Drosophila melanogaster: one gene and its partner. The protein of the gene in region 1 interacts with the protein of each later gene in a pairwise test. Each region holds a gene or a part of one and is shown on either strand. Other genes may lie near its edges. The genes, in order: Orc5 and CG8841.

Region 1 (4,425 bases):
TTATTAAAAAACAAACACTTAACATTTGATTTTACGAATAAAAAACATTTTATTCAGTTTGCTATAAAGGTGAAACACTTTAAAACACACACACACTTTCGGAACCATTATGGAAGTTGGTGGGGGGGGGGGGGGGGAAAGAACAATCTCTTCGGTTAATTTATGTAAAAAGGCTTTCGCACGGTACAGAACAATGGGAAAAGCGATTTTGGAAAACATTTTGGCAAATACTTCGCTCCTGGCCAGGCCAACACACTCGCTAACAGACAATAACACGTAACGCTGGTCCGTTCCGGGCCGCACTAGATCTGCAGGTTGCGCATGCCGCCATTGATGCCGCCCTGCTCCACATTCCAAATGACCAGCTGCCCGTCGACGCCCGAGGTGGACACCTTGGTGGCGCTCGCCTTGTCGCCGGCATACAGTCGCACGCTGGTGATGGCGTTCTGATGTATGGAATCGACCACCGTGTCCGTGTTCTCCGTGCGCATGTTGCGGTCCATCGACTGAAAGATTCTCATGGCGGTAATGCCGCTCGACTCCTTCTTCTGCGACTTATCGAGCTTGCCGCTCAGCACCAGCTTTCCATCGGCAGTCAGACTGTAGAGCAGTGGCACACAGCTATAGCCGGCCACCACGACGGACGTGGGCGAGACCCATTCGCATGACAGGAAGGGCAGATAGCCGGTGCGGCATCGAATGACCGTATTGCCATTGGTAGCGTCCGCGATGCTCACGCAGCTGTCGTGGCCCACCCAGCAGACCTTGTTACCGTCGCTGGAGAAGCTCACGCTGTTAATCCAGCCGCCACCCGAGGTCTGCGAGTTGCGGAACTCGGCCATTAGCTGGCCAAGGGGCTTGCGATTGCCCCACGGCGTCGGCGTCGGTGGCTCCTCGATGTCCTTGATGAAGGCCGAGAAAACGCGCACCTTGTAGTCCGTGGAGCCGGCCAGCAGCAGAACGTTGTTCGGATGCCAGTCCAGCGAAGTGACCGTAGAGCGGATCGGCTTCTTGATGTGCTTCGACACCCACCAGTCGTTCTCCGACTCGAAATAGCACACGGATATGAGTCGGGCGCCCGAACCCACAGCGAACTTGTTCTCCGCCGGCGACCACTTGACGCAGGTTGCCGCCCGATTGATGCGCAGCAGCACCAACGCCGGCTTCCACTTGCCATCGTCGCCCTGCGTCCACACATAGGCATTACGGTCGGCGGCACAGCTCACAATCCGATTGGTGTTCTTGGCCCAGTCGATGCCCATGACGCGCAGATCGTGCTGGTTGAGCACGTCCGCCAGCTTCCAGTCGCTGCCCTCCCGGCTGTATATGTGGATCTCATGGTTGTTGGGCGATAAGGCAATCTCTGCGAATTTTTGGGAGTGGGTGGTGGTGAGTCACACTGTGCCGGATGAGTAATTTGGGTCGCACTTACGGGTTCGATCCTTGTTCCATGCGTGGCAGGTGATGGAGGCCAGCGAGGTGCCAAAGGTGTATGTCTCGGCCATCGTGGGTGGCTAAATGCGCTCGGAATGTGCAGTGTTCGCTCGTCCAAATCCAACCACACGCGTAGTTTCTTCGGTTCGGTTCGCCGGATTTTCGGATTTTGGATATCGCTGTGTAGCAATTGGGCGTTGTTTCCGCTGGATTTTAGCTTCGCTCTCGTTTTAATCGCGGACTCTGGGCCGTCAACACGATTAAGCTGGCGTTGCTGGGATGGATTCTGGCTTTGCCTGGGCCGGAAGAGTAGAGCGTTGTGGAAAAAACTCTTTGGAAAAGTAATGCACAAAATTAATCACCCGAAATTAGAGCTGGAACAAAAATCGATGGCCCTCAATACTATCGTTATTTCGTTATATCGATATTTTTCGATTGTTTGAAAAATGCTAAGGTACCAGTGCTGTTACGCACGTTCGGTATATACCAGAGGGAATAATTTGGCGCCATTTCAATGGTCACACTAAACAGAAACCATTTCTTGTAAACAAATTTTTAATAACTGGCTGGCTCGTAATTTATTTTTGTTATTTTATAAACCGAGGAAGTATTTTCCCTTTTGAAAGCCCGTTTAAATAACACCACTTCGCCTGTGGGTAGCTGAGGAAACTTAAAAGCAGACGACAGCTATGGAAGCCATCTGCTCCTCCTTGGAGCCGCTGTTTCCCTGTCGGGAGGCGGCCATTGAAACGCTGGGCGAGCTGATAGGAGATTCGAGTGAGACATATCCCTCGGCAATTTACCTATTCGGACACAGTGGAACCGGCAAAACAGCTCTGACCAGAGCTTTCCTCAAAGAATGTGGAAAACGGCAAAATGTCCGCACAGCGCATTTAAATGCCATCGAATGCTACACCACCAAGATAATGCTGGAGATCCTGTTAGACTCGCTGGCACCCGATCAAGGTGATGCGCTGAAGGTCGACAACATGCTGGACTTTGTGGAGCAGCTGCGTCGGCAGGCCGCTACACGCGTGGAGGATCAGGGATTTCTCATAGCCGTGGATAACGCGGAAAGGCTGCGCGACATGGATGCCAATGTGTTGCCCGTTCTTCTCCGACTGCAGGAGCTGACCAACCTGAATCTGTGCGTTATTCTGCTCTCCCAGCTGCCCTTTGAGAAGTTCTACAACAAGACCGGACTTAGTGAAATCGTCTGCCTGCACTTGGCGCAGTACAACAAGGCGGAGACACAGCGCATCCTGGGATCTGACTTTCAGCAGGTGCGAAATCAACTGCTGGAACAGTTCGCCCAGGATAAGAAGCGTCTGGAGATTTGCCAGGAAGCCGTAACTGAAGACTTCTACAACAACTATCTGAATCTCTTTCTGAGCGTCTTTTACAAAGCCTGTCGCGATGTTCCAGAGCTCCAGCTGACCGCCAGGAAGTGTCTGTCCACATACTTGGAGCCTGTACTCGACGGCACTGTGGATGCCACGGACATCTCCCGGCTTTGGCGGCATATAGCTGGACCACTGCGTTCCGCCTTAACCCAGATTTATATGCGAATTGAAAAACCCGCGGAAGAAGTTGAAGATTTCACCGCCATAGAAGATCAGAGCGTTCGCAAGCTGGCGCAGTCGCTGGAGCTGCCCTACTATGCCAAATTTCTGTTGATCGCTGCCTTCTTAGCCAGCCACAATGCCGCCAAGCAGGACAAGCGATTGTTCGTCAAGCACCATGGAAAACAGCGAAAGCGGATGCAGACGGTCAACGCCAGAGCCAAGGTGGGTTATTCAATTTTTCGATGACTCCATTTGCTTATTTTAATACCTTTTAGACCACGGAGAAAATGTCCACCACTTTGGGACCCAAATCCTTTAGCATCGATCGTTTGCTGGCCATTTTCTACGCCATTCTAGAGGAGAAAGTCGGTCTGACCTGCAACCTTCTCTCCCAGATCTCAACTTTGGTGCACCTCAATCTACTAAGCTTCGTCTCCGGCGAACAAAACATAATGGAAGGTTCCGCTAGGCTGCAGTGCACCATTGGCTTGGAGTTTGTCCTGCAGATTGGCAAGGTGGTGGGCTTTAATGTCCGCCAATATCTCTGCGACTTTATGTAGCCCCTGGTTGTTTTTTTTAGTTTTTAAATATATTTAATAAATAGTCCGGTACATCGCTTATGTGTATGGTCTCCGCCAGCCTTGTGTCCCGGCTGCGCAACTGCATCAGTCCGTTTCTTAGCGTTTGCTCGTTTATAACAAGTGTATAAGGTATGCCGAGCATATCCGTTTCCAGCAAGTGCTCTGCTAAATGAGAAGCGTTCTTCGTCGTACGAATTCCATCCCCTTCAGAAAGTCTAAGACCGGCGTGGTTGAGAACATGTTTCAGATGCTGACAAAGATCAGACAAGTCAGCAGATAGCTCGGAATCACTTTCCACACAGGCAATTCCACATTGATATGGCGCCAGAACGCGGTGTAAGAGCAGGGATTGCGAGTCCCGGCCATGATCACAGCCATCCAGAAGCAGAGCTAAAGGATAATAATATAGAAAGATTTTCAAAGATAGTTATGATGACCACTTACCGCAGGTGGTAGTTTCCAGCTCTATCACAGACCTTATGACAGTCGGTTGCACAATTTCACCCGTTCGCGCATCGGGCAGCCGGAAGTCTTTGTCGTCCACTATTCTCACCAGGCTCAGTTGCTCCACGGTCACTTCTCCTGCATCACCGTAGCTCGTGCGGATATCGATGGCTTGATAGTCGTTGGGATTGAGATCCTCAGCCAAATCGCAAGGTACGATGCGGTAGCGACTGGGATTCGAGGAAAGACGCATCCACCAGATCTTGCTCTCACGCTGCATGTTGTAGAAGTGCTCCAGTGCGCGATGTGGTTCCACTAGGAAGTCCGTGGTTAAATGTAGCGTAGGACCCTTTATCCCAAATAGGGAATTGCTAGTGGGACCAGAACAAGTGCTTTGATGT
Region 2 (6,418 bases), on another chromosome or scaffold:
ATATACAATTCCGTGACGAAGCCGGGAATGCGCCACAACTGCAGTAGATTGTCCAGAGCGAGTTCTCGCATTTCGTAGGGCGTCTTGGGATTATCGCTAGCAATAATCTCGCTCAATTTTCTAAGGTAGGCTTCCAGCTGAAACTTGAGATGTCCGCGGAGAGACTCGAAAAGCAAAAAACAGAGCTGCAAATCGGCGGCAAAGATGCTAAGCCGCTCTGAGCTGAGAAGCTGTAGGGAAAGGAAAGAGTTAGGTCAGAAATAACTAACGAAGCAATTAAGAGTCCCTTACCGATATTAAGTTTCTGCATAAGTCGTCCTTAACCAGCTCCAGCAAGCCCTCATACTTTCCAATATTATCGGCTGCGACTTCAAAAGCTACAGTAAGTAGACTAAGACCCGTGTGCATCATGCTATCCGAGTTCTGCTTATCCAGAGGATTGCAGAGGATTATGAGGAATCGGAACAACTCCTGGATGAAGGGCAGGCCATAAGGGGATAGTGATGTTACATCGTGATCGGTGGACTGCTGTGTAAAACGGACGCCCACCGAGTTGATGTACTCGCTACTATTTGCCTCGGCCAGGGTGCTGGTTGCTTCACCCGTTTCGCCGTCCAGCAAGGGCTCCGATTCAGTCGACTCCACTTGAATAACAGGAGTCTCCGGGACAGTGGTTTCATCTTCCCCCGTGCTCGCCGTTGTTGTTGGTGTCTGCGTAATCTTGCCCTGCATGTCCAATATGTTTCCCGCTGGACTGGCGGGTGTGGTGGCCAATATGGGTGCCTTCAAGTGCCCTGGCACCGTCAGGTTGGCAGACTGCGGTGTTTGAGGCGGTTCCTCCACTGCTGACGATTTCCTGGGTGCTGTCTGGGCTTGGGCAACCGTCTTACGCTTTAGTTTTTCTTGGGTAGCTCCGCTGGCAGCATCGCCGATAGTAAATCGCTTCTGGAGCATGGTGTCACTTCGCTCTTCGGCGAACTGGGGAAGGCGCATGAAGAAGAGCAGCACCATGTCCTTGAGCGATTTTTCCGCCGAGCGACGAAGCAGTTCACTCAGCCTCGGCTCGAAGGAGATCTTGAAGCAGCTGAGCATCACCTCGCACATGGACACATTGCTGACGGCGGCTCCTTCGGGACTGCGGATAAGCGTGTGCAGCACCTCAATCACTCGCATAAAGGTGACACCATCCGAGGACTGATCGGTGCCCATAAAGCGGGCATGTGTCACAGCATCGGCAATGCGCTCCACAATGTCAGCCAGATTTGGAGACGTGGGATCTGTGGATAGGTACAGAATGAGCAAATGCAGAGGGTAAGCACTAAATCATAATACCTATTAGCCCGTAAGACAATAATTTGTTAACCGAGGCCAAGGCTAGACTAGTCAACGGACCCGTGGCGTCCGCCGTGCGAATCACCTCAAGAAACGGAGCCAGGAAGACCTGAGGCTCGATCTGACGCAGGTCCTCGATCCGATTTAGCTCATGCTTGAGGTCAATGAACAGCTTCAGCAGCGAGTCATTCTCGTCGTCCTGTGGATGTGCAAAAGGGCCATATACTTTCTATTCGCAGTGAGCATTAGGGGCACTATTTACCACGTAGGCGGTGGCATTCCAACGCGTTCCACGTCGCATCGCCGTCATCAGGGTGGCCATTTCGCCCCGCACCACGTAGATGCCGTTGCCTGGAAGCGCCATGGTGTCCGCGTGTCCTCCGTTGCGGTGTCTCTACGACTGCAGCTAGTTGGCTTCCAGTTCCAGGGCTAGCGCTGAAAATTGCAGTTTTCGTGGGGCAGGGCAGCTCCTCCTCCCTTCCCGACGACCTTCGCATATGTTTTGGCACTCGCCACTTGCCCACTCGCACACTCACGCTGCCTGGACGAATCTGGGCGTGCTGCCTAGTTGGGCATCTCTCACTAATCCTAACTAATCGAACTGGTAAGCTGCTAATTTTTGGTGACGTTTACGTGTCGTTTATGTTCTTGTGTGCAGTCCGAATATTTTGCACAAGCGTCTTCCAACACCGGCGCGGCAGTTCGTCGCTTCGCAGCACTGGCACAGCTGTAGATGCCAACTCGATGCGGAAATTTCAATAGATTAAATTGAAATACAGCTGCAAGCGTATATAAAAAAAATATAACCTTGTTTTTAAAATAAAATATGTTGCCAAGCTGTCGATCAAATTGATTTAATCAAATTGATATTTGAATATGAGGGCCAAAACAGGTGAGCATAATCAGTCACGCACGCATCTTCAGTCGTGAGCGTTACACCCACCACTAAGTTACACTGGCATTTGGTGCGTAGGCGAATTTCTAATTGGAATCGTTCGATTTTTGAAAAAGAATCGCATTAAATGCAAAGCATTCCTGTTCCAGACTACTGCGCACACTTGCACTGAGGCGATCGAGCACGGGGCAGGTGGATTTACAGGACTCAGCGATACCAAAGCAGCCCACAGGCCGAACAATATGGGAAACACGGACTCCAAGTTGAACTTTCGCAAGGCGATTGTGCAGCTGACGCAGAAGAACCAGAAGATCGACCCCAGCGACGAGCAGTTCTGGGAGCAGTTCTGGCAGGGCCACCAGACGACGCTGGAGGATGTGTTCGCGCTGGTCACCTCGAGCGAGATTCGCCAGATACGGAACGAGAATCCAGCCAACCTGGCCACCTTATGCTACAAGGCGGTGGAAAAGCTTGCCCAGGCGGTAGACAGCAGTTGTCGCACGCAGGCGGAGCAGCAGTGCGTTTTGAACTGCGTGCGGCTGCTCGTCCGGTGTCTGCCGTACATTTTCGAGGACGAAAAGTGGCGCGACTTCTTCTGGAGCAGCCTGCCATCGCAGGACAAGACCATGCCGTTGGCTCAGTCACTGCTCAATGCCACCTGCGACCTTCTTTTCTGTCCCGACTTCACGGTTACGGCCACGCGGCGTGCGGGCCCCGAGAAGGCCGAGGAGTTGGCGAACATCGATAGCTGCGAGTACATTTGGGAAGCGGGCGTGGGTTTCGCCCAGTCACCGCCCCACAACGCCCACATGGAGCGCAGGCGCACGGAGTTGCTGAAGCTATTACTCACCTGCTTCTCGGAGCCCATGTACCGATCGCCGCAGCAGTCCGAGGAGCCCAACAAGTGGATAGCATATTTCACCTCGGCCGACAATCGCCATGCCCTGCCGCTGTTCACCTCGTTTCTGAACACCGTGTGCTCCTACGATCCGGTGGGCTTCGGCGTGCCCTACAATCACCTGCTGTTTGCAGACACCACAGAGCCCCTGGTGGAAGCGTGCCTTCAACTGCTCATTGTCACCTTGGATCACGATATGGTGGTGCAGCAGCAACTCACACAACCCGGACAGGCGTCCTACGACGAGGGCAATTGCGGCGACAACTTGTTCATTAACTATCTTTCGAGGGTTCACCGCGACGAGGACTTTCACTTTGTGCTCAAGGGCATAACCAGGCTGCTGAACAACCCACTGGTCCAGAACTATTTGCCCAATTCCACAAAGCGACTTCATTGCCACCAGGAGCTGCTTATTTTGTTTTGGAAAATATGCGACTACAACAAAAAGTTTCTGTATTTTGTGCTAAAGAGCTCCGATGTTCTGGACATCCTGATTCCCATTCTGTATCACCTAAACTACTCCCGAGCGGATCAATCTCGAGTGGGCTTGATGCATATTGGAGTATTCATACTGTTGCTCCTATCGGGTGAGTCATATGTCATATGTTTTGTTCGTGGAATCAGTGCACTTACACTTAAATAAATGTTTATTGATAGGTGAGCGAAACTTTGGGGTTCGGCTTAACAAAGCATACTCCGCCACGGTGCCCATGGATATACCTGTGTTTACTGGAACCCATGCGGACTTACTCATCACTGTGTTCCACAAAATAATAGCCACTGGCCACCAGAGGCTGCAGCCGCTTTTCGATTGTCTGCTGACCATTCTGGTAAATGTCTCACCATATCTGAAAACCCTCTCGATGGTGGCTAGTGTAAAGATGTTGCATCTCCTGGAGGCTTTTAGCACACCCTGGTTTCTGCTATCGGCACCCAGCAATCATCATTTGGTGTTTTTCCTGCTGGAGATCTTCAATAACATTATACAGTATCAGTTCGATGGCAACTCGAATCTAGTCTACACCATAATTCGAAAGCGTCATGTGTTCCATGCCATGGCAAATCTCCCGACCGATATGGCTGGCATAGCCAAGTGCCTGAGTGGCCGTAAAACAGGTGGAAAGTTTAACTTGCCGCGGGTACCACAGCGAAGAACGCCAGCTGTGTCCCAGGAACTGCCCTCGGCCCACGTGCCAGAAGAGTACAACGAAGAAGACGAGGATGAGGACGAGGAGGAGATAATTAATGAAGAGCCCAAGGCGGAAGAGGATCTCGAATCGGAGACAGAGTCTCATGAGCGATCTCAGGCGGGGGAGCTGCAGTCGGACGTTCTCACGGCGCAGCCAGCCGAGCCAGGAACACTGAAAACGTCCTTGTTGGACACCCCGGGCATTACTCAGATGACGGAGCGGGAGCAGGCGCATCCAAATGACAAGCCTCAGGTGGAGGATTCTACAGACATTGTGCCCTACGACAGATCAGCCGCTTCGACGCCAACTGACGAACGCAAGTCCACCTCACCCACGGAATTGTCCCGCTTGTCGGTGGCCCACAGGGCCAGCATTCGCATGGTGCCTGGCGAGAGCGATCGTTGGACGCCCACGCCCGAGTGGATCGTCTCCTGGCGCTCCAAGCTGCCGCTGCAGACCATCATGCGACTGCTTCAGGTCCTAGTGCCCCAGGTGGAGAAGATCTGCATTGACAAAGGACTGACCGACGAGTCGGAGATCCTCAAGTTTCTGCAACACGGAACGTTAGTGGGACTGCTCCCAGTGCCGCATCCCATTCTCATCCGAAAGTACCAGGCCAATGCGGGCACAACGGCATGGTTCCGCACCTACATCTGGGGTGTCATCTACCTGCGCAACGTGGAGCCTGCCATCTGGTACGATACGGAGGTCAAGCTCTTCGAGATTCAGCGCGTCTAGGTCAGTAAGTGGACTCCCAGCTACACCAGCAGCGCAATCGTAGCTTACACGCTTTGGCATTTACTGTAGTTAATTTATTTAGTACATATTTCATTCCAAATGTTTTTGTGAAGAATCAGTGTGTAATGAACTACCTTTCCCACAATTTTGCTTATTGGCAACAAAAAAAATGAGGCTTATCAGTTACGATGTGGCATTGAGATCCATTCAACAGATTTGTTATCGGCTTTTAGCATTGATATTTAATTGCTTTCCTAATTTGTTTTGAAGAGTGTTCTAAAAAACAGTATAAGCACAAAGTGTTTTTATTTTAGTTAATGACTAAATTATTAAACAACTCATGTTTTTGTAATCTGTGACAGAAAATGTTCCTTGTGCCGTATATTTTATTGCATGGTTTTATTTATTTTATATTTTAATAATTTAAAAATTTCCTGTTTTTACTTATGTATGTATTTAAGGTGCAAATACCAAGAATAAATTACTTTCACTCAGCCACTCTACAAACGATTCGCTTTATCCAAACAAATTTGTAACTGCACCTATTGACACCATAAAAAGCTTTACGTTCTCTTGTAATGATTAGGAAACTTTAGTTGAGTCCAATGAACTGCTTTGTAAACTTAATTAAATATAGACATTAATGATAGAATTGAGAAAGTGTATTAATTTACTGTCTACGTGTGCTTATAAACTATATACACAAACTAAACTTATGACACCTATACAAGTCAGTTTATATAAATCATTTACGAAATATAGAGCAGAACCCAAGATAAGTAATAAATAATAAATAAATTTCATAAAACGAATTGAATCTTGTATTTTAATTTATAAGAATGGCCAAATATAGAGCCAAATGACAGTTACTAAAAAGCAGTTTCATATCAATCGATTTTACATTCTTGTAGGTTGCGTTCACGGTGGAGAGAAAGGACTTCATCCTTTCTTTTACGCTTCTTCAGTCGTTCTGCTTGCTCTCGATCCTCCAATAGTTTGACCAAATGCTGATGCCAGTAGAAGTATTTGAAGAAAAACAATAGAAGCAGCACCGAAGTGGTGACAATGGATGCGGTTGTGATCTCTACGGGCTTTTCGCCTTCCTCTTCCACCCGCTCCGAGAAATGGCGGGTGGATATTCTAAGGCCGAAGTTTTGTTTGCTTGCCGCAACATTGGGCCGATCCATGAGCACCGAAGGCAGCAGCGGTAGTTGTCACGACTGGATTGTATTGGAAGTGGCAGTGGATGCGGGCACTGGTGGCGGAGCTACTGGAATAATCGAGAATTTGATAAACGCGCTCTTGCTGCGCCTTTGCACTATTCTGCCAATTAGTTGTGGTTCCTTAATGGTCTGTTCGATGGCC

Evidence for each region.
Region 2: the proteins of Orc5 (region 1) and CG8841 interact in a two-hybrid assay, tested with the Drosophila melanogaster proteins (one large-scale study listed by BioGRID).

What each region holds. Positions count from the first base shown.
Region 1 is NT_033779.5:13,827,914-13,832,338, forward strand, and holds Orc5 (origin recognition complex subunit 5), read left to right. Parts: upstream 1-1,923; 5' UTR 1,924-2,123; coding exon 2,124-3,221; intron 3,222-3,274; coding exon 3,275-3,559; 3' UTR 3,560-3,575; downstream 3,576-4,425. Other genes in the region: Arpc1 (Actin-related protein 2/3 complex, subunit 1), read right to left, coding at 303-1,363, 1,433-1,505; PolG2 (DNA polymerase gamma subunit 2), read right to left, coding at 3,576-3,970, 4,025-4,425. UniProt on the Drosophila melanogaster protein: Component of the origin recognition complex (ORC) that binds origins of replication. DNA-binding is ATP-dependent, however specific DNA sequences that define origins of replication have not been identified so far.
Region 2 is NT_033778.4:12,321,952-12,328,369, reverse strand, and holds CG8841 (uncharacterized protein), read left to right. Parts: upstream 1-2,111; 5' UTR 2,112-2,224; intron 2,225-2,254; exon of another isoform or gene 2,255-2,376; 5' UTR 2,377-2,469; coding exon 2,470-3,712; intron 3,713-3,782; coding exon 3,783-5,053; 3' UTR 5,054-5,863; downstream 5,864-6,418. Other genes in the region: garz (gartenzwerg), read right to left, coding at 1-230, 292-1,277, 1,333-1,531, 1,595-1,696; mIF3 (mitochondrial translation initiation factor 3), read right to left, coding at 6,268-6,418.